Schizosaccharomyces pombe: one gene and its partners. The protein of the gene in region 3 interacts with the protein of the main gene of each other region in a pairwise test. Each region holds a gene or a part of one and is shown on either strand. Other genes may lie near its edges.

The links. Proteins that work in one complex are often made in the same cells at the same time.
Region 1: the proteins of rpn501 (region 3) and rpt1 interact in a two-hybrid assay, tested with the Schizosaccharomyces pombe proteins (one study listed by BioGRID).
Region 2: the proteins of rpn501 (region 3) and rpn9 interact in a two-hybrid assay, tested with the Schizosaccharomyces pombe proteins (one study listed by BioGRID).

The regions. Positions count from the first base shown.
Region 1 is NC_003423.3:4,338,569-4,346,925, reverse strand, and holds rpt1 (proteasome regulatory subunit Rpt1), read left to right. Parts: upstream 1-3,545; 5' UTR 3,546-3,557; coding exon 3,558-3,671; intron 3,672-3,727; coding exon 3,728-3,809; intron 3,810-4,004; coding exon 4,005-5,125; 3' UTR 5,126-5,303; downstream 5,304-8,357. Other genes in the region: ER membrane O-mannosyltransferase Ogm4, read right to left, coding at 1-274; qcr6 (ubiquinol-cytochrome-c reductase complex subunit 8), read left to right, coding at 1,496-1,700, 1,827-1,898, 1,955-2,143, 2,191-2,369; vacuolar protein sorting receptor vps10, read right to left, coding at 5,474-8,357. UniProt on the Schizosaccharomyces pombe protein: The 26S proteasome is involved in the ATP-dependent degradation of ubiquitinated proteins. The regulatory (or ATPase) complex confers ATP dependency and substrate specificity to the 26S complex.
Region 2 is NC_003424.3:2,040,360-2,048,213, forward strand, and holds rpn9 (19S proteasome regulatory subunit Rpn9), read left to right. Parts: upstream 1-3,448; 5' UTR 3,449-3,482; coding exon 3,483-3,595; exon of another isoform or gene 3,596-3,649; coding exon 3,650-4,682; 3' UTR 4,683-4,800; downstream 4,801-7,854. Other genes in the region: SPOM_SPAC607.02C (uncharacterized protein), read right to left, coding at 1-45; U3 snoRNP-associated protein Snu13, read right to left, coding at 577-936, 1,087-1,104; arg82 (inositol polyphosphate kinase), read left to right, coding at 2,131-2,937; SPOM_SPAC607.06C (metallopeptidase), read right to left, coding at 4,851-4,886, 4,925-6,676, 6,735-6,785; SPOM_SPAC607.07C (uncharacterized protein), read right to left, coding at 7,340-7,771. UniProt on the Schizosaccharomyces pombe protein: Acts as a regulatory subunit of the 26S proteasome which is involved in the ATP-dependent degradation of ubiquitinated proteins.
Region 3 is NC_003424.3:1,262,953-1,270,978, forward strand, and holds rpn501 (19S proteasome regulatory subunit Rpn501), read left to right. Parts: upstream 1-3,316; coding exon 3,317-3,400; intron 3,401-3,447; coding exon 3,448-4,695; 3' UTR 4,696-4,828; downstream 4,829-8,026. Other genes in the region: chaperonin-containing T-complex epsilon subunit Cct5, read right to left, coding at 950-2,590; rsm22-cox11 tandem protein cox1101, read right to left, coding at 4,953-7,214; yip12 (SMN complex subunit Yip12/Gem2), read left to right, coding at 7,798-7,964. UniProt on the Schizosaccharomyces pombe protein: Acts as a regulatory subunit of the 26S proteasome which is involved in the ATP-dependent degradation of ubiquitinated proteins. Required for proper proteasome assembly.

The DNA.
Region 1 (8,357 bases), on a different chromosome or scaffold from region 3:
TACCAAAATGTACTTCGTCGAAGACAACTTCACCAGGAAGATTCAAGTTCCAAAAGCGAGTTATAAATGAAAGTACCGTTATCAAAACAAAAGCAAGCTTAAATTTTTTGGCTTTCAACGTCTTGAGATTCAAACTTACATCTTCTTCTGTAGAATTTGGAGATTTCTGTTTTGGAGTAACATTATCAGAAGACTTCGTGTCAGTTAATTCAACAGATGGCTCTTTGCTCAATTTTTGGGCTTTCTTTACAGCTTTTTCAGATTTGGAAGCCATAATTCAGATGAAAATCCGAAATTTTGGTAAAGGGTACAACTTTAAAACCAAGTCCTTCTGACCACCGAACCTGGAGTTAAGCTTGGGAGAATCTGAGTGAACTGCTACATATTCTATTACTTCTTTGCATTATATTTATCGTAGTTAAAAACGTATCGTTATAAAAAATAGGATAATAGTTATTAGTAGTTGCAATACAAAAATTAAAAAAGAGGTCAAAAGATCGATGGATGGCCTATAATAAAATACTCAATGTTTAACTTAAAGTTGTGCTTCATCGTCAGTAAAAACCAACTTTGAAGAAATTATGTCCTAAATACATTCAATCATTTCTCCACGTTTCGTAGTAGGTAGTTAACGAGCTAACTTCTCGTTAGTAGTTTATATTAAAGTGATTTATTGAAGACTTAAACATTTTGACTAGCTAAAGAATTTTTCGATTGTTATGCAAAGCTATTATACTTTATCTGTTCATAAAAAAGGCGCATAGAAAGCACAATGGTTTTGAGAAATTAAAATTCAGTCGTAAACGAAATGCTTATGAACCAAATCGTTCAAAAGTCGACTTGTGATATCGTTTTTTTTTTCGTGCGATAGATTGTGAAAGAAGCAATTGATTATACACAGCATTTTAACTCCTTGTCTAACAAAAATATTATGCCTTTGAAGCTCTTCTACAACTCCTAAAATGTGCTTTCACTTTTTCTTAGCGGTCAATATTGTGCCTGTAGCGAAAAAAATTTATCATCAATCGTCAATGTTACATCCAAAGGCTTCAAATTCACATGAAAGTATGCTGAATCAAAATCTTGAGTTATTATTATAAATCTTTCAAAGTATCCTGATTTTCATTTATACAACACTAGCTTGTTATCCTAATTATAATGAAGCAAGCAAAAACGATTTTGATTTACTGTTCAGTCTTCTGAACCTGCAACGTTGATTCAAATTACTCTAAATACAAATTTTATCTAAAATTGTGAAATTTACTAAGTGTTTACATTTTCCTTAGCTTTGCGTTAAACGCGTTTAATCGCGTTGAATTATCAACATCAAATGCGGACCAATATAGCGAACGGTTTATTCGTCACCCACCTACTACATATTACCAACTCACAACCCATCTCTCATTTGCAGCAGCGTTATTGTACGGTAAGGAGGCTTTTTTAAATATTAAAATATTTATCTGACTTTCTCTTTATTAAAGATTTTGAATTCGTAATGTCGTTTTGGAAAAATTTGTTTACTTCAGCTTTCACCCCGATTTCTGCCGAAGCGGATGAATTGATTAAGGAAGATCGAAAGCAATTTGAAGAGAATACTCCTTCAAAAAAGAACTTTGAGACCCAGAGTCCCGATGAACCATCTCCCAAGACAACCGACTCTACCGGGGCAAGAGATGCCAACCTAAGTCTCAAGACTCAAGGTAAGTAATTACGCTACTGTTTTTTTTTGGAAAGCCAATGTTCGTATGGTATAACAGTATCTGTTATGAACCGTTTTTGTAGACGTTCTATAGTGCGTTATTGAAGTGATGCTAATAATGTGGTAGAACCTATTGTCTCGGCAGATGATGCCAAAGGAGCACAGGGTAAAGGGGCCGATGAAAAAGAGGAGAAAAAGGGTAAGTATTGAAGCGTTGATTTTGATAAAATTCGTATTAATCATGGGATTGTTCAGAAACCATTCAACCCCCTGAAGAAGTAAAGACTGAACCCCCTCAACCTGAAGAAAAGGAAGGAAAGGAGGCCAAGGAACCTGAGGAACCTCCAAAGGAAGAAGCTGAGGAACCCCAAGAAGGAGGGGAAGAGGAAGAAGAAGAAGAAGAAGAAGAAGAAATTACTGATCCTTTGGAAAAAATGACTCAAGGTTCGCTTATTTGAATGGGTGTACTGTTTCTTGCTAACATTTTTTAGAATGCATGGATGCACCAGATTGCAAGGAAGTGAAACACCATTTTGAAGAATGTACTGCCCGTGTTACAAAGAAGGTAGAGCAGGGCGACAAGTCTGAAGACTGTATTGAAGAGTTTTTTCATCTTTACCATTGCGCTCGTGATTGTGCCGATCCTAAAGTCTTTAAGGTTTTGGTTTAAATGCATTTAACGCTTGGTAAGGTCGAACGAATGGAATTATATGATTCAATTTTAGGAGGCATTCGTAATACTACCTTAATGTTGGTATCTATTCCTAAAATAACATTCCTTTTTTTATGTAAAAAATGGATTAAGATGATTCCCTAACGTTTTGTAGATGATATCGACCTACGTTAAGGTAGTAAATTTAGTTTTCAACTTTCGATTCTATTTTTATATTCCAATAATTTTTCGGTTTATAGAGCGTACATTAGATAAGTAAATGATGACCGGTAATCCCAATAGTCTTAGTACACTTACTTTGAGGGTATTATGTGAGTTACTAAAGTTTGAAAACTATTTAGAGGTTTTTGCTTACCGATTTGTCCCTAGGACGCTCAAAGGAAAGGACCGGGTTTACTGATTTAGTAGTAGGGTTGTATCAATACAGAAATAAATTACGAAATTTTATTATGGGACCAGGAAATGTTGAAATGACTTGAACACTTTAAGAGTTGCGGGTATTTAGGAAGGAAAAGCATTACATGCTTAATAATCCTGTTCCACCTTTTTTATTATATTTTATATAAAAGAGAATTGAACATATATACTACAAAGGCTAATGCATTAGGAAAGAAAATACAAAAAAAAATAATTCAGGAAATAACTTTTTTTGTTTCGAGTGACTTTCTGCACCCTTTTTTGCTTTATGTAGAAAAAAAAATATATATATATATATATGTATTTTTTTTTTTTTTTTAATTGCTCCCATAGTATCATATTAATTGGGAGTATTGCAGTTGCAATAATCAATTTATAACCCGGTCATAATCCGAGAATTTATAATTGCGCCTAATACAAAATAACAATTTGATAGATTTAAATTTACTCTCAAGCGATCTGTATATTTTAATAAATTTATTTGGTTTTGTAAATATCAATGTACGATTTGCCTAACCACTTTTCCAATTTTCCACAAAAACAAGGCACCTATTCAGTTCATACTAAAAAAGATTAGGAAATTTTTCAATGGAAATAGAGGGAAATAGTATTCACACTTACTAATGCTATAATTTAAATCGGTTTTTACCAAGTAAATTTCTTAGCAATATTTGCAGAATTATAAATCAGGTAACATTGCGACTTTGGGTGGCCTCTAGGTTAGTATAATGTGTCGAATATACCTGTACCTATACTGAACCAACTACAATGCCACCTAAAGAAGATTGGGAGAAATACCAAAAGCCAGTTGATACGGAAGAAGAAAATGATAAAAATCCACCACCTTTAGACGAAGGAGACATCGAGCTCTTAAAAAGCTACGTAAGTTACATTAATGATTGAATTTGTCACCAGCAGCATACTAAATGTCAATGTAGGCTACAGGCCCATATGCTAGAGAATTAGCAGCTATTAAAGAAGATACAGAGGCTGTGTTAAAAAGAATTAATGATACTGTTGGTATGTTTTATGTCGAGAAAGCAGTTGCACGATGTTGTCTGATGAATGGCGTTCCTGTAGTTCATATAGCTGATATGAACTACAAGATATGACATTCATGAACAGGATGTATTTTTACAATTTTTTATCATGTAAAATGCTCTCATTTTATATGAAATTTGCTTAACCCGTTGTTCTATTGCTAACTAGCCCTAGGAATTAAGGAGTCTGACACTGGTCTAGCACCAATTTCATTTTGGGACGTTGCTGCGGACCGCCAAAGGATGAGTGAAGAACAACCTTTACAGGTTGCCAGATGTACCAAAATTATTGAGAATGAACAATCTGCGGAGAAAAATGCATATGTCATTAATTTGAAACAGATTGCAAAATTTGTTGTCAGTTTAGGTGAACGAGTTAGTCCCACCGATATTGAAGAAGGGATGCGTGTCGGTTGTGATCGTAACAAATATGCTATTCAGCTTCCTCTTCCTCCCAAAATTGATCCTTCAGTTACTATGATGCAAGTTGAAGAAAAGCCAGATGTTACTTACGGAGATGTGGGTGGTTGTAAAGAACAAATAGAAAGACTTCGCGAAGTCGTCGAGCTTCCTTTACTATCTCCCGAAAGATTTGTTAAGCTTGGTATTGACCCTCCCAAGGGTATTATGCTTTATGGACCACCAGGGACTGGTAAGACACTATGTGCTCGTGCTGTTGCCAATCGGACTGATGCAACTTTTATTCGTGTAATCGGTTCCGAGTTGGTTCAAAAATATGTCGGTGAAGGTGCTCGTATGGTTAGAGAATTATTTGAAATGGCACGAACTAAAAAAGCATGTATTATCTTTTTTGACGAAATTGACGCTATTGGCGGGGCTCGCTTTGATGATGGAGCAGGTGGTGATAATGAAGTTCAAAGAACAATGCTTGAATTAATTACCCAGTTGGATGGATTCGACCCTCGTGGTAACATTAAAGTTCTGTTTGCGACCAACAGACCAAATACCTTGGATGAAGCTTTGATGCGTCCCGGTCGTATAGATCGTAAAGTTGAGTTTGGTTTACCTGATTTAGAAGGTCGTGCTCATATTTTACGCATCCACGCTAAAAGTATGGCGATTGACAAGGATATTCGTTGGGAATTAATTGCACGGTTATGCCCTTCACAAACTGGTGCAGAGCTTCGTTCTGTATGCACTGAGGCTGGAATGTTTGCGATTCGTGCTAGAAGAAGAGTTGCTACCGAAAAGGATTTCCTTGACGCCGTTCAAAAGGTTGTAAAAGGTAACCAAAAGTTTAGCAGTACTGCTGATTATATGAACATGAGCTCTTAGATAATTTCCTTTATTACGCCATTCTTTATGAGATTTCATAGGTTTATCCCGCAAATGAATTAAAAAACTTCAAAATTTTGTTGCCTGGTCACTTTAGCTGTTCGAACTAGAAACGTATTAGAAAGCTTTGTTTGATATCTTATGTAATAAATGACAGGTTGCAACGTTGGCATGAAAGAAAATTTCGTTCATTATACTACACGTATGTGCATGAGTGTATGTATGTAAATATATATATTTATACATTAAACTACCATATATATCAACTGATCATTAATATAAGAACGTGGCATAGCTGCTTTACATGATGAGTGGAATGATTGACAAACATGCCCAGGTTAAGTTAAATCAAACTGACTCTTCGTCATCATCATCTATCTCATAATTTTGAAGGAATGCCGCATTTTCAAATTCACCATTCGTCGGTGTAGATCTTATAAACAGTGACCGAACGCTTTGGTAAAGAGCGGAAAAGAATATTGGAATTGATGAAAAAGCTCCTCTTGTGTACGATATGCCTGATTCCAAAGGATTTTCAGTCGCTGAATCAGAACCAAGTCTTATAGCACCTTTAAGGAAACGACGAGAATAATAATAAAGAATGCAACCAGCCACTGCAGCCAGCAGGATAGAGAATATAATAGTCAAAAAGATACTCCATCCTCCAGGTTTTGGATGAGCTTTGTAATAATCATCTTCTTTGCCGGGACATGGATGAAGCGTTCCAGCGTCCAAAGGTACCCCACCTTCACATTCTGTTAAAGGAGTGCGTTTATAACCAGTTGGCTGTCTCCATTCAAAAGCATCATCTACTGAACATTGTTCTTCACGAGTATCGGGTGGCTGTAAACCGCTAACAAGTACGCAAGTGCCATCTTTGAGACGTCGATAATTATAATCACACTCAAAGTCTGCACGAGTACACTCACATTTAGAAAGTACTTCTTCTTTAACCAATAAACTAGATCCAACCCTGCATTTTTTATGTATGCTCTTTCTGTAAAAAGATGAAATACGTCCGCGTAAACAGAGTGGCTTACCACTTATATCCGTCGGAACCCATCTAACAAAATCGCTTTCTTCAGAATTTTCCTCATCGAAAACACAGGTACGGCGATATAAAGCATCAAAATCAATTAGAACAGAAGAAATAGGTGCATTTTCATCATCAGTCGTCAGTAGCAGTACCTGATGTCCGACACCAGAGGGCTTCGTACTGACATCAACGACTACCTTGCTCTTTTCAGAGAATTGATATTCTTGCCAAGTACGCCCCTCATCTGCAGAATATTTAATCACATTCGTTGGGGATATGCTTTCAACTGCAATAATAATGGAACCGCTGTCTAAAAAGGCCCATAGATGGGGTGAGTCAAAAATCCGATACCAGGTAACACCTGCGTCTCTAGAAATAAATGTTTGCGATTCTTCATAAGGGATGAGAAATGGAGAAAAGCTTCCGACGCCAATGATTAAACCAACAGCAGCATTGGTCGAAGTGGGATCAGAGAACTGGTTTCTTTCTGTATAGCCATGCAAATGTAAATAGCAATTTTTGCCGCATTTAGGAACAATTTTTTCCCCACCAACAAGGTTCAAATAACTCCAATCTAACCCATCGTTGAAAGTTATCAATGTTTGAAGTTTCTTCGTTCCGCCATCAGTCAATTCTTTGGTATTACTGACTATGTTTGCCAAAGCTATACCTTGTATCCCTTCTAAACGTTCAAAATCAACATATCCAACAGAATCCCGATTCACGTTCGCCAATGAGGTCATGAAATAAGTGCCGTTTGAGTTTGATTTCAAAATGTCGCCCCATTCAGATCCTAAGTGCGTGTTAGTTGTTACGTGAATAAATAAAGAATGTGTTTGCGAATCCAATATAGTATAAGCCTGCTTTGGATGTACATTTAAATAAGCAGGGAAACTACAGGAAGCAAAATTTAATCCATTGATCGAAACATCTAGTGAAAGAGAAGTTCCCTCTTCGTCTTGAACTGCTACAATCACGTATTCATCTTCAATCATAAATCCAACGACATCGTTCAGAATTTCGTCCTGTTCATACTCAAAAAAGTCAATTGAAGAAATAAGCTCCTTTTTAAATGGATCATTTGTGTTTTGTCTAATGCAAAAAATCAAAGTATCATCGACGACTAATTTCTCTGCCTTGGCCCAAGAACAGTACTCAAGGTTTGATGGCAATCTCGACCATGTATCACCAAAATCTAACGAAACGAATACGACGTCTCTACAGTCGTCAGCAAAGGGATTTTTTTCGCAATTTTCTGATCCAGCATAAAGTAACCAAGCAGGCCGTGATGGGTGGAAGGAAAATAATGATTTACCATTTTGATTAGGAGGTGAAGGAGCTTTAAATTTATAAAAGTTTTTACCTCGATTGGTTGTGAAATATACAATATTTTTGGACGTAACCATATAGACCGAGTTTTTATTGTAAGCATGAGGAAGCACGCTAGAAAATTCTTCCTTCGAAAACTTGTCCCAAGTCTTACCCTCATCTTCGCTGAAATAGACATGAGAGTTGACAGATATACCAATTAGAAATGTGTTTTCCTCAGGAACCGTACCTTCGAGATAAACTACATCAACAATTTTTTCATCGAAATCATAAAGAAAAGATGTTATTTCAGTGCCAGGTTCATTAAATGAATCACAGTTAAATGTTTGAGGCTCTCTATGAGAATCTCTCTTGTTTGGAGTACATTTATTACCAGGAACAAGACGGTACGGAATTTTTTGAAATGTATCCAGATCTTCACTTGCACACAATAGACTTCCTATAAAATCGAGTAGCTTGCACTCACCTTGATCATTTGAAATAAACTGTGTATTACACTCATAATCTTCGTCAGTACACTCACAAGCGTCAAAAGAGCCATGAAGATCGGTAATAGATTTTGGAACAGAGCAAACAGAGGTGGCCTTTTTCCTCCAAAAAAATTCTTTTTTTCCCATCTCAGAACAAATAGGGCTTCCGTTGGCATAACGAGTATACCATTTTTCAAAGTCGTTTTTATTTGATTCACTGTTACTAAATTGACATTCTTTCGGTAGAAACTTTCCGAAATTAAAAGAAAAAAGTGAATAATTCGATTGCTCGCCATCGTCCGTCATAGCCAAAAGGTAAAAAATTTCGGCATAGGGATCTTCAGAGGCGAAGAGCTTAATAGGCACGATGGTCTTATCCAGTGTAACAGTTACCCAG
Region 2 (7,854 bases), 780 kb from region 3:
CCGTTCAGCCTCAAGAACGGACCTTTTCTTAGTCTTAGTAGGCATATTGCGCTTGGATAGTAAACACAAACGAGAAGCAAGTAATAAAGGAAAATAGCGAGCCTAGCTCGTATCGCAATTTAGATAAATTTGGATTTGTTTTAATAGATACTCATGGGATAACAGTAAAGTTTATTAATGAATACAAATATCTTTTTTTATTTTAGTGGACAAGCTGTAACGCTTTAGAGAGAAAAAATTTCAGAATCAAGTTGGAAGCAAGCTTAGTGAAGATACTTTTCGAATCATACACGAAAAATATATTAAAAAATATATATATCAAACACCAAATATACACTATCTTTATTAAAATCGTAATGCTCTTATATGTAAACACTCAACTATCTTTCTTGTTGAGTATTTTGCGAGCTAATTAATAAAAATTAAAATGACTACAAACAGAGTACTTGAAATTATATAGAAAGCGAAACAGTACAAAATTACAATAACAAAATAAAAAATTCGATAACAATCTGCTTCCATAAGAATCAAATTTTATTCTCGATTAAAAGAAAACTGTTCCCAAAATCCAAAAGTTTAGATGAGCAATTTCTCTATTGCCAATTTAATAGCTTGAATTTGAGGAAGTAAATCACTAGCCTCATTGGTAGTAATGCTGGCTGAAATCACCGGTCTACTTACACCACAAGCACGTCCCAAAGCAGCCTTGCTAGGAACAAAAACATAAGGCACATTCTTGTCCTCACAAAGCAATGGCAGATGCAATAAAATCTCTATGGGCTCGGTATCAGCCGCCATTACTATAAATTCACTAATACCACGGTTCAAGGTTTTGGTAGCCTCATTTGCACCTTTGCGAAGCTGCTTGTAATGAGAGGCCTGTTGTACCAAGTCGAGAATTTGTTGGGTTAAGCCAGAATCGGCTAAAGGAAAGGCCTAACAATGTTAGTATGCAATAAAACGAATATAAATTTCGGAAAAGTTCATTTTCCGTAATAAAATTGCCGACGAAACTAGCATTTGAAACTAGCATGCTTTCAGCTATTTCGTAGCCAAAGAAGAAGTCTTATACCATTATTAACATACCTTTGGGTTAACTGACATTTTTTCGGGTTCCTTGCTGTAAAAAGTAGTATCTGACCTACAATGGTGGTTGCTCGCCCTTGCTAAGAAATTTTCTTTAGTAAACTTCACTTTAGCTGTAGTCCAAAAGTACAAGTAACAACATCAACGTTAGTCGATCCTTCGATCAATGTAACTTGGAAAATTAATCCAAATTTGCTTAAATTTGGAATTCTAAGAAATTTATGCACATTAATAATCTTAATTGTTTCTTGGCATTACACTATGAATATGGAGGACTCAAAACTATAAATCAGATTGGTGAGTTTATTTCTATTGAGCAGGCATTCTTCAATTGGACATTGTTTACCATATTTAACAGAATATAATAACATTAAAAAAAGTTGGAACTGCATATCTGATTGAGAGCTGTATTGTTATATAGTCTATGGACTTAGCAAAAAAGAAGTTGCTAATAATCTACTATTTAACTTTTAAATTTTAGCAAAGTACATATAATTTGTCCTAAAAAAAAAAAAAAAAAAAAAAAAAAAAAAAAAGCCCTGGTACATACTATTGAAAGTGTGTAAATTGTAATTTAGCTAAAATATTTTCCCTTAGTGGTTTGGAATATAGGTTTTTAATAATATTATAATTTATAAAAACTTTGCAAAACACTTTCTAAATAATATCCAAAAAAGTTTATACTTTCTGTTAAATTCATACTTCGATCTCCAGGCTACAACTTTATCTACTGTAAAAAAAGCTGAATAAATTAACAGCGAGTACATACACATTTGGATATGTGTTTAGGAAATTCATTGTTTTATATTATTAGATAAAATTTTACACTTATTTATTCAGCTCATATAACCTGCATGTTCGTGCAAGCAGTGGAAGTGGTTGATATAGCTCTACACTATTTCAATTCATTCTACATTCCGCTTACCCAACAGCTGTCACATCGAAAATAACGCTTCAGCATATTGCTAAACGCGTATTGCAATTTTCAAGAAATATACTTTTGACGAAAAAACATGTACTAGCGGATTTTTTCTTTAACTCTTGATGAAACTAAAACTGTTTCCATTTCAAGCTGCTGGTCATGGCCAAGTACTAGTCAGTGAGGATGATAAAATTCTAATTAAGCCATGCATTAAAAGTGAAGTTGATTTTTATAAAACATGTAACGACAATATTACGCTCTACAACTGGATTCCTAAGAATTTCGGTGAGTGGATGCCTTCTAGTAGAGACATTGAGGGTATCAACCCGATCGCAGAAAGTGTTGCTTTTTCCTTAACTGGAAAAGCTATAATCTTAGAAAATATTCTGTATCAGATGGAAACTCCTTGTGTCATGGATATCAAATTAGGAAAACAGTTGTGGGCCGATGACGCTCCTCTTGAAAAACGAAAAAGATTAGATGCCGTTTCCAGAAGTACGACGAGTGGTAGTCTTGGATTTCGTATAACTGGTATATTGTCGTGGGACAGAACAAACAATACGTACATTAAACGATCAACAGCTTGGGGTAAAACCCTTACGGATTCAGATGTCGTAGAAGGCTTAAATGATTTTTTTGTCTCTTGCTCTCTTTCTCAAAAAGCAAGGTTGGTTGAAAGCTTCCTTAATTTATTGAAATTATTTGAAGTTGATCTTTCTGAGTCTTATATTGAATTAAAATCTTCTAGTATTCTTTTCGTTTATGATTACTCTTCCCTAAATCCAACGTATCATTGTGAAAGCAATGTAGTTCTCAAGCTGATAGATTTGGCACATTCTAGATGGACGAAAAACACTATAGACCATAACACATTAATTGGGGTTAAAAACTTAATTCACTGTTTTGCGATGCTCCTGAAGAATGAATAATTGAATACTGACATGATAAATTCCTTTAAAAGAAAAGTAATTTTTTTAATCATTGCTGGTTAAAGCTAATTAATTTATCTGTATAGTATTCCACTATAACTATTATAAAAATGATACCTTATTTATTTTTTTGAGTGATCGTGAAGTATTGATTTGTTATAGAAAAGAAAATAATTTTTATTCTTCGTTTATTTTATGAAAATTTTCAGAAAGGTTATCTACCCTTTTTATTTTTGGTAAGATAAAGATCTTATTCCACAAACGAACTACTTAAAAAACAGTCAGTTTTCTCTTAATAAAATAGTTCGTTTACTTATAGAAGTTTGCTTTATACCTTGCGTTGTTTTCATAGAGGTTACTAAAGCATGCTTTACTTATATGCTTTCAAATACGCTTTAACTTTTTTTTTAATAATAATTTTAACTAACATAATGAAAATAAAATAAATATGCTTATATTTCTCCATTTACCTAAAGTTTCAAACAGTAGTAATATGACTTGAGCACTTGCCATCAGCAAACAACTACTCCACGAAGGATTTCATCATGGATACCGAAATGTCTGTCAATATGTCTGATTTTTTACACGATCAAGCTACAAGAGCTCCAGAAAGCCTTCAGCAATCCTATATTTTAATGGAAGACCTTTATGAAAGGAAGTATGTTGTAAAAGTGCTTTAGAAGAAAATGAACTTTACATTAACTGACGCCAGATTATGGAAACAACTTACAGATGCTTTGATTGTTTTCTTTGATACCCCAGAAACAGTACCTTTAAGGCTTCCTTTGTATACGAACTTTGTCAACTCATTTCGACCTAATATCAATCAACTCAAAGCAGTGTACATGGGCTTAAAGGCTTTTGAGTCATGTTCTAACGACGAAGCCCTTCGTAATTTAAACCAAATTGTTAACGAATTGGATGAAGAGAAATATAAAGATGCCTATGTATATTCCATTGTTGCCATTGCTCGCATCAAGCTGATTAGTGGTAAGTTGGATGAAGCCCGGGAACTACTTGTCAAAGCCTCAAAAATTATCGACCACATTGATTACGTAGAAAGTCTTATTCATTCTTCATATTATAGCGTCAGTGCAGACTACTACAAGGCAAAGGCTGATTATGCTCAATACTATCGTCATTGTCTATTGTATTTATCTTGCATCGACCTCGATAAATGCTCTCATACCGAGTTAGTTGAAAGAGCGGTGGATCTAAGTGTTGCCGCAATACTCGGTGATATTTATAATTTTGGTGAATTATTATTACATCCTGTTTTCGAGTTGCTAGTAGGTACACAGCACGAGTGGTTACATGATTTAGTCATCGCCATGAATGTCGGAGATTTACCTTTGTTTGAACGCTTAATGGGGCAAATTAACAAAATGCCTTTACTGCAAAGTTCGGTTGCTTTACTAGGTCAAAAAATTCGTTTAATGGCCCTCATTGAGTTGGTCTTCCAATTACCTCCAAATCAGCGTACTTTAACATTTGATACAATTGCTCGTGCAACCCGTATTCCTTCTAATGAAGTTGAGTTACTCATTATGCGTGCTTTAAGCGTAGGGCTTATAACAGGTGTTATAGATGAGGTTACCCAAATTGTCACCATTTCTTCCGTCCAATCTAGAATTTTAAATCACTCGCAAATTGCAAGCATGGAATCTCGTCTACGAGAATGGAACCAAAATATTAAGAACCTTTCTAATGTGGTTGAAATTTCTGGAAAAGGTGTTTTCGTTTGATGACTACAAAACTCATTGTTTAAAAGACAAGACATGCTATAAAGTAAATAGAACTATTTTTCTATACATTATTATACATTTCAGTGTAGTAATTTTATTAGTTGTAAACATGGTACGTAATTTCATTCTCCTTAAGCAATTGTATTCAATTAGTATTCAGAATTCAAGCTACTTAATAAAAAACCCAATTGAATCCATGAATGGCTATTAATGTTAGATCAATAATATAAAAAAAAACTTACCCCTAATGTGCCATAAAACCCGACTAATTGAAAACCTTTTGGGACTAAATAGCTTTTCAACCCACCCCCGTTAGCATTTCCATAAAATGGACTTGTTTTACCATTTTCTAAAACAATGGATATCCCATCCACCCAGGCTCCACAACGTATTTGAAAGCCTACAATTTGGGAGCCTTGTATTTCAAAATCGTGAGGGCTTCCACCACGGTTACCAAGAAGAACTGATTCATCACCAAAAAATACTTCAATTCCATCCAAAGCTAAACCACAATGAACACGAATTTTAGTAGGCTTAAACTTTTCAGGTGCTATTAAAATATTTGATAACTCTTTCCCATTACAACCTCGCAAACCATATCTTTCAGATCGATAAACAGTTCCAAAAGACGATTCAACCTTCGCATTTTTTATAATTTCAGGTACATTGTTTAAATCAATACATTTGAAATTTCTGGATAGAACGCGAACACGATAATCTTGATTGGAGCTTGCATTTGAAAGAGAGCGTATTTCAGCATCAGTTAAAGAAGCTTCTCCGACTGGAGGATTAAACTCCTTCCAGCCCTTGGTCTGTCCATTGTATTCAATTTCAATTAAAAAGATTCCAGTCGAATTGACAAATGTGATAGTTTCTCCTTTAACAAAGTAGTTCGTTTCAATGTCCGACGGATATGTAGGGTCTGAAGGTAGTTTAAAGCACGGATGATAAAAAAACCTTAACATGTCAAGATGGTGCCAAGAACATTCATCTTTTGCAAGCACTGGGGCAAGACCTTTACTTCCAGTTCTAACACATTCAAATTCTCTTGTCGTAAAACTGCGGTTAAATATTGGATATGATCGCAACATGATTCCATCTGGTTGATGAGGACAACCAAGTGTATGTCCTAACTCATGAAGCATAGCGCCTATCCCTATATTCGCACATTCCCAAATCGTAGAACTTTCATTTGCATCATTTGCCAAGTAAGAAGGGATTCTACGGGCATCACTAAAGACAGGTACAACATACTCAAGTGCACTAGGAAAAGAATGTAACGAATGGGAACCAAACACTCCAAGTTTGTGCATGTCTGTACCTCCACCTAAAGCTACATGTCCACGAATTTTTTGAGTAGAAGGATCATATCGTGTATCCAAGAACATGCACATATAATGCCAAGGCTCAGGAAGATGTAGTTTGTCGACAGCATCTCCAGCTATATGAAACAATTGATCTGGAGGAACCGATCGAATCTCTTCTGCTGTTTTATCACTTCGCAGAATATTTATAGTGGCTGTTAACCTTTCGGTGCCCCAAGGGGACAAACAAGACATTGTGTCGGGTTGCACACTTTCCTCAATTCTAAAAGAACGTCTTCCATAACCATTTCTATACATACATTCAGCGGTGAAAGCTTGCCATAAGTAAGCAGCGCATCTGAGTTTACGGATGCCCTCATCAATATCATTTTTGGCACCGTGAGGTGCATCAAATGAAAGGTCTGAGTCTTTTCCAACTATAAAGGCGATACAATAGAAAGGATTATCAACAAGTAATTGGTAATAAACCTGCAATTCTAGTTTACCTCCATCGTCCGTAGTAAATAGTATGGTATTGTCTCCGGGAACGACGTGAATGATAGCTTTAAAATATAAGTCTGTAACTACCCATGTTTGTTCTGGAAATGAATTTTCGTGATGCTTCACATTGATTGTTTGTGGGCAATAACTTGCACGAGGTCCAACTCTACCATGTATAATAACAAATCTCTAAAATTAGGCATCTATATTAGTACAATTATGAAAATAACATTGAAAACACTCGTACATTGTATACAGTTTCGTTTTGGGATATATTGTCTAAAATGATCTGACTCATGCTGGCTCTTGACAAACGCGTGTGCAGTACATTCTATATTTATTTCGAATTGACTTAGACTAATGTCACAAAACATATAAATTATTTACATATTTATTCAAATTTATAAATTTAATATACACGACATCATATAAAATACAAAACATAATATAATCGCGTTTTTTGAACAATAAAATTACAGCATCGGTTGATTGAGTCTTTGGCAGTGGGTATACTGAGAGACCAATAATTATTTAAAATTCTAGCTGAATAATAAACTTTTGTATGCTTTACGGAGACAGTAGACGTCCAAATTAACTATTGAAGACTTATATAAGTACAATGAATTAATGGATTATTTATTTTAATGATTGTAAATAAATATTTAGAAAAAGAGGAGTGCAAAACTTATTAAACGATGATTGTGTATGTTATGGCTCAAGATTTACAGAAAAATCTAGCAGAGTAAAAGCGATACTTTCAGGATCAAAGCACGTCCTTAGTATCAAATATGTACGCATGACGATAGATACACCGGCCTAAAAAAGAGGACTAGGTTTAAGAACTTAATCGCTTTATTCTTGTACATATGGAGAGTTTTTGTCATTGAATGGAGATGCGGATACTTGACTTTGAGTCTCTGCATTTTCACCACTTTGTCGTGAGAAAGATGAAGACAGTCTGGGAGGAGGGGCTTCGGTATTTACAAAAGGTACTGTCTCTGATGTGTGATCTATAAATGGAGAAGCAGAAGGAATAGTATTAAGCTCTGCTTCTTCAACCCTTGTATCCCACATGTCGTCTGCATCCAAGGCTTCAAACTTAGCGGAATTGGAAAAAGGGTTCTTCAGAAAGTTCCAGGTTTGAGAAGACTTTACAGAACTAACATCAGCTGTCATCATATTTCTTCTCCGAATAGAATTAATTAGTCGTAAGACACCATATGCAACAAATAAGAAAGCAATCGAGCATATAATTGACAATGCTACAATGCCAAACGTCCCCATGATGAACCAATTTATCTAAAAGAATTTTTCAAACAGTTTTCATAAAATTTTCTTTCAACGTTTGAAAATTAGAAAGAAGAAAC
Region 3 (8,026 bases):
TCAGTACAGAAGGAACAACCGGTTGCTTTAAACAAAAGGAGGACAAACGAGAATTTAAAAAATGAGAATAGATCAACTAAAAAAGAAATAGTAAAGAAAGTTAAGATAATATCAATTGATAACTAAGAGGCGGGATACAAAAGAGAGATTTCAACGTATTGCAAACTTTTAATGAAGCTTCTTCCAAAAAAGGCAGTGACTTCGATAAAGCTCAAGCTCCTTTAATTTCAACTTCACGCTGAACTTAAAGGCAGTATTTGCCGTTTAATTACAGGATTTTACTGAAAATCAGCAAATCGTAGTCTTTTGATGTTCTTTTCTTTTGTGTGGAGGTTGGTTTGCTTTGCTTCTTCACCCCTCTTAAAAAGCGTCGGATTTGGTCCAAGCTACTACACTAAACCTCCTTATTTACAATGAAGGAAAGCAAAGGAACAAAGGTTGATGAATACATTAATCCAATACTAATGGATTTCTGTGCGAAAAGACTCAGTCTAGATTAGCGAGAAATGTTAGGAAAATATCCTCGCATGGCTCAATTAAGAAAACTGATATCATTTTGCCCAAACTCGGCTTTACAGGTGCTACCAGAAGCGTTTTTGCGGAAAAAGTAGCCGACGATTTCCGTCTTGAGCGCTGATGTATTTGGTCTATTTGTACAGCTTTATGGAACAAATCATAAACAGAGTTTAGTATAAAAATAATGCCATAAACAAGGTTAGAGTGTCTGAAGGCTTTGAAAAGCTCACAATCTCTGAGTAGGTAAAAATACTATTGAAACTGGAAATACGGACTCAATATGATGCTTAGTAGAAAAAATTTATATATATGCAAGAAATTTTTTATTTTGACATAAGTACACAGAATCACCATTTTATTCAAAAAAGCACATGCTTGCCGTATGAAATGAAGTAAATTAAATTTCCTTTAGCCGTGCGGATGAAAATGCCATTTAGTTATAGTCATCATCCTTAGAACCGGCAACGATAATATCGTTAACTTTGAGTACCATTCTGCAAAGCTGAGTAGCAAGAAGCAGTTGTTGTTTCTTTCCAATAAGAGGATCAATAACAAACTGCTTTCTCATATCATTACTTCCGGTCTGCAAACAGTCAATACCAAGATATGCCTTGTTTTCTTTTACATGACGAGCTTTAACTGCTGTAAGAGCTTCGATGGACGAAAGGCCACTGTTCTCCGCGAGGGCAAGAGGAATCGTGTCCAAAGCATCTGCAAATGCACCCATGGAATATTGATCAATACCAGGAATCTTTTCAGCTTCTTTGGTGACAGCCAAAGAGCAAGAAATCTCAGCAGCACCACCACCATACACTACTCTGTTGTCACGTATCAGATTACGAACGACACAGAGTGCATCATGCAAAGCACGTTTCGCCTCATCGACAATCATCTTATTGCTTCCTCGTACAAAAACGGTTACGGCTCGAGAGTTGGCACACTTTTCTATAACTAAAATCTTATCACGAGTCGTACCAAACGACACCTCTCTCACTATACCGGCTGAACCAAGCTTATCAGACGAAAGATCCTCAAATCGGGGCACAATTCGTCCATTTGTAGCAATAGCAATCAATTCGATTTCGGGACCTCCCACCCAACGTACAGCCGGTAAATTATTTTGAAGAAGTAGATGGTTTGCTTCATCATCAAAACCCCATTGACATATAACAAGGTTAGCTCCTGCGTCCTTTACATGCTTAATCATTTCCTGAAATTTTTCCTTCTCATAAGCTTGAAGGGCTTCAAATTCACTCACTGATGTTATGTCCAACTTATGCTTAGTTTTTGGCTTTGGTGGTTCAAAAGGGCAGGTTAAAATAGCAATCTTTGCATTTTCAATACGATGAGGCATTTGTGGATGCGACATGTCTTTGTCCACCACAACACCCTTTACAAGCTTTGTATCATCCACTGAACCACCAACCTTGCCATCTACTTTAATGAGTTCAAAATCAACATCTTTTCTCTGCAAATCAGCAACAGAAAGGACCGCGTCCACAGCAATGTTTGCAAAGTGATCATGAGCTTTGGAAACCACTTTACTACCCAAACTAGTCTTAGCAGAACGAAATAAATTAGTAGTGTTTTCGGGACTAAAGTCGACAACATCTGAAATAGCATCTAAATGTTTAACAGCCACCTGGCATGCCTTTTCGTAACCATCTGCAATCCTTATAGGATGTATACCTTTGTCTATAAGTGCCTCGGCCTGCTCCAGTAATGCACCTGCTAGTACAACAACACCAGTAGTTCCATCCCCAATTTCATCATCTTGAGATTTAGACAACTGAACTAACAGCTTTGCAATTTGATGTTCAACCTCCATTTGGTCGAGGATTGTAGCACCGTCATTGGTAACCGTAATCTCTCCATCTGGAGAGATTAAAATTTTATCCAGTCCACGGGGACCCAAAGAAGTACGCACAATATTAGCAACTGTTTTGGTAGCTAATATGTGACTTTTTACAGCATCAATTCCATGCAATCTTCTCTTCTTTTCCTGGTCACGTACTAAAATGAAAGGATTTCCTTGATCGTCACGGACCATAACAGCGTTATCTAGACCGGCCATTTTGCTCATCTTGTTATTGTGAACTGTCGATGCAAATGAATTTCAAGTGATAAAACTGAACGCTACACTAACCCAAATCCTTGAAATACTTTTGAACGATTTCACAAAGAACCTTATCTCTTACTTCCCTTTAAATCGTTGAAATAACTTGAGGTTCAAGCTTAGGGTGTATTCTTTAGAATGTCGTTGAAAGCACGTCTAATATGTTGCGGCCCTTCAGCATTTTACGAACTTCTATAGAAGAAATAAGCACTATATTTCACTAATGTAAGCTACGCAGTTTGGTATCTGATTTAAGGATACGTAGAACTGCGGTGAGTTTTCCTTGTGGTCTATTATATTACAATACACAGGTTGTATAAGTAGCAACTGAGTATAGGTATTGTATTAACTGAGTTATAATGTTACCTATCACTAATATAGCTCATAACTGAACTGAGGAACGAGGTTCAGTTGTAACGCTATTTATAATATTTCTAAATAGTTGTTATCAACGGGTATCTATGTATATAGACGGATAGTTACCCGTGATTATCAATAAACGGATCTTAGCTAGTATTCCAACATATGACATATAGTGATACGCAACGTAGTGTATCATAGCGTAGTGTACTATTGCTGACAACTAAAGTATTTTGCGAGCGTGCGTTACAACTCTGTAATCATAAGAAATCAACTCGCAATATTAGTCTCAATTGTACACTCTCCAACAACCCACATATCGAAATGGAACAGAAACCGGAAGTTGATTACTCAGAGAAGTTTGCAGAGTTACAAAAAAGTTTAAATAACCTTAATACCATAGACATCGTACGTAAAAATCAAAATTTTGACTAATCTCTAACTTGTAATTGTAGGATGCGAACCTCGAGAAGCTTTTGATTTTTGAGAAGCAAGTTCGTCAGGCTTCTGACACCAGCACGAATACGAAAGTATTAATATACATTGCTGATTTGCTCTTTCGAGCTGGTGATTTCCAAGGCTTAAACGAACAGTTGGTTAGTCTCTTTAAAAAGCATGGCCAACTGAAACAATCGATGACAAGTTTAGTCCAACATGTAATGACCTATCTTCCTGGAATTGACGATTTAAAAACAAAAATTAATTTGATTGAAACATTGCGTACTATTACTGATGGAAAGATATATGTGGAAGTAGAAAGGGCACGTCTTACACAACTGCTTTCCCAGATTAAAGAAGAGCAAGGTGACATCAAATCTGCCCAGGAGATCTTGTGTAATGAACCAGTAGAGACTTACGGATCTTTTGATTTGAAGGAAAAAGTTGCATTCATTTTGGATCAAGTTAGATTATTCTTACTGAGGTCTGATTACTACATGGCATCTACTTACACGAAGAAAATAAATGTTAAGTTTTTTGAAAAGGAAGACGTCCAGTCTTTAAAACTTAAGTATTATGAGCAAAAAATCCGAATTGGTTTGCACGACGATGCATATCTTGATGTTTGTAAATATTATCGAGCAGTTTATGACACCGCCGTGGTTCAAGAGGACCCCGAGAAATGGAAAGAAATATTAGAAAATGTCGTTTGCTTTGCCTTGCTTACTCCTTATGATAACGAGCAGGCAGATCTTCTTCACCGAATTAATGCTGACCATAAACTAAATTCTCTTCCTTTACTCCAACAATTGGTTAAGTGCTTTATTGTCAATGAACTAATGAGATGGCCCAAAATTGCCGAAATCTATGGAAGTGCTTTAAGGAGTAATCCTGTTTTTGCTGAAAATGATGAAAAAGGTGAGAAACGTTGGTCTGAACTTCGTAAGCGAGTCATCGAACACAATATTCGTGTAGTCGCAAACTATTATTCCCGCATTCATTGCAGTCGTCTAGGAGTGTTGTTGGATATGAGTCCTTCCGAAACAGAACAATTTCTTTGCGATCTTATTGCAAAGCATCATTTCTATGCCAAGATTGATCGCCCAGCTCAAGTCATTTCATTCAAGAAATCTCAAAATGTGCAAGAGCAATTGAATGAGTGGGGTTCCAATATTACTGAACTTCTTGGAAAATTGGAAAAGGTAAGACAGCTTATTATAAAAGAAGAAATGATGAATTCTATTCAACAGGCGGTAGCCAAATAAATTGTTCCGTCTCTATTTCATTTCGTTACTTTCATGACTTTGTCATTTAAATAATATACTATTGGTTCAAAGGCCTTCAACTTTTTTTACGAGAATACAATAGTTTTAATGTCGAATTGCAACCTCGGAGAAAGTTATTCTAGTAAGTTTGTAGTGATTTTCGTTGTTATTTGTCTCGTAACTAGAAGGTTAACTTGATGAATTATTTTAAATAAATTATTGTAGTTCACTCAATATGTAGTCCCTTAATTTTTATTTCAGTTGAGTTTAGTTAAAAGATTGCCATTGGTATCATATCTGGCCTCAAAAAAAGTATAGCTTAGAAGAATATCGTCAATATCCTTCATATTTGGATCATCAGCAAATTCTGGATCTATAAAGAAAAACACAGGCAAGTCTACTTTTTCATGAGCATCTAGCTTTTGCTCTTCAAAGCAAAAGCATGCAACCTTTGAGAAGTAAACAGCGGCTTGACCTGGTACTATATTATAAGTTGCAACTCCTACTATGTCATGGTCGGACGTATTTTCAGCAGTATAAAACCCTAGAGCAGTCTCGCCTGGAAGAACATATATTTCACGCTGCTGGGGCCAAAGCTTCCAGCTAAGGTTTCCTGCAACGTCGCCATTGAAAGTAACTCTGATTCTTTTATTGTCTTTACGAGGAACCATTCTTTCTGCATTCATACGACTTTGGTCGGTATTAAGAGTGCCACCATAACCTGTTTTCGAACAGAAAAGACGATATAAAGGTACAGCCGCATATGTCAAGCCCAACGCAAAAATGGAAATTGCAACCAGATAATAGATAGTGGTCCTTTGATTATAGTGGAATTTATCTCTCGAATATTGTCGTGAATATTTCCTGGTACCAGAGATGCAATTGTAACAGCTAAATGAAGTAAAAATACAAGGGAAACGATGTGAATTAAAGTCTGCAAATCGAGAAAAAGCTTTATGACGATTAGTCGAATAGAATCGTTTTCCGACAAAAATAGGATCTGCAGTTGTATTTCTTTCAACTTTGGGTTTATTATATGAGGGGGGATTGATTGAATAGGTAGAAGAAGCATCTTTTAAATGTTTAGTAATTTTACTACTTGGAGAAGTACTTTGAACTTTGCCCTCTAACGGAAACAAGTCGCCCCAAGCACTTTTCCTAGCTAATCGATAAGCTAGTTTACCTTGTGATTTAGGAACAATATTCCTTCTAAGCCGAGCATCGCTATCACAGACATCAATTATGACATGTCCATCTCGCTTCAGTGGAGGTCGAATTATACGTGGCCAGTTTTTAAGAGTTGGAGATGTAACATTCACATTTTCTAGTAAATCCTCATCATTCTTGAACCTTTGTGTGGTATTATTAAGCGGTCTAGTTATACCCTTTTGAATAACAACATAACTGTAATGAGAGCGATCCGAGGATCGACGATGAGAACGAGGGACATATAGACGGGAAAATGGGGATAGGAAAAAATGTTGTTTGAAAGAACAAATATTTGCTCTTACCCCATTTTCTATATCAATGGGGCAGCGACCATCGTGGGGACAGGGTGCTACAATATGGGCATTGAATTGTTTATCAGAAGTATTTTTACTTTTTTGCAATAGAAATGTTCTAGCTCTTTGAATCAAACTAAAGCCACGCTTTGTGCCTCGCTCGCAGAGCACCAAAAGACCACCATCATTTGACACGAGACTCCAAAGCGAACGAAGATAATCAAAGAGTTCTTTCTCCGATTTCATTTCAAGAAGCTTGTTAGATGCAATAACTAGAGTGTATGAATCCTTTTTACCCAATGGTAGACGGTTAAGCGTAACAGGGCTAGTTGGATTCGGCGAAGTTGACGGGTAAATGTTATGGTGAATATCATATATGATTTTTTTCAAAAATGGGTTCTCCTCAACAATTGAAACTGAATTAGGTGTGGGAAAGACTGAATAACTAGCTAGAGCACCAATACCTGGACCTTTACCGCAATCCAGTATATGTTGAGACTTGCAAGACACATCACTGTTTACAATTTTCAAGTCAGTCAATACGCTGTATAGAGAAGCATATTGATACGGCATAGACTGATGAATATAAGCTAAAACTTGGGGATCTGTCATAGTCCGAGTAGATTCATCTTTGAATGGCGCAGACAATGGAAGCTGAGATTCCGTAGCCAAATCTTTTTTAATATCATTAATAAATTTTTTAATTTGTCCTTTTTCGCTCTTTTTCAATAAATCGTCCACATATAGATTAAATTTTGTATGCAAACTAATATCACCACTTTTCTTTTGATCCTTTACCAAAAAGTCGAGTAAACTGGAAGCTTCTGGACGATGTGAAGAGATCAATTCGTTTTTATAATCAGAAAAGTTGTTTTGAACAGCTTGAAAATTTGCATTATACCACCTAATGGTAGTGGTTGTTCCATATGGTATGAGACATCGCTGATTTTGAAAAGTAAAGCAATTCCGTAAATTATAAAGAAACAGAATTTTATATCTGCATGTTAGAATGGGCATATGTGCTGCTCAAAACACCAATTCACCAATGAACAATGGGATTTGGGGATAAAGCACTGATCTGTATATTGTGTAGAGTAAGTGCCTGATTAAGTGGCCGCAGATGGTGTTACTTGCGTTGACAGAAGAATGAATAGTACAATTTCCTACATATCTATATGTTTTATGTTTATTAAATTAGTTCAAGGATAGGCAATTCTGTCTGAGTGAATATTCTCCCAGTTTTAGCTTCTTATACACTTCAAAAAAATGCAAAACTTTGAACTTCTTTGAAAATAAGAACAAGTAATAAATTTTATGATAGTAAAGGAATTATCAAGAAATAGCTAAAATTAGTTTTAGCATTACACTTGATCAAGATAGACTCTTCACATTGATAGTTCTACAGATACCTCTTTAACCTTACCATTCTATTATACTAGGGTAATCTTCGATTTACGAAACATTCCTTGTTAACTAACTACAAACGAAAAGTTGCCGGAAAAAAACAGCCTACATTCCTTGAGTATTTTCATGAAAATTCGGTAATTCTTTTCCATTTGGTTTATATGAGAAGTTTGCAATTGTACAATAATAATTCAAAATGCCCTCGAAAAGAAAAAGAAATCCTTTACAATATCAGACTTCAGGATCATTAGATGAGGAAACAAATCAACGCAGCGCTTTTCCACAAATCGACAACAATAGTGCTTCAGAATCTTTGGAATATGATATACCACTTGATGGTTTAGATTATTTAGCAACTGTGAGGTACGAACATTTATATATGAATTTTTGTGAAAATCGAAATTTGCAACATGAATGCTTTAATC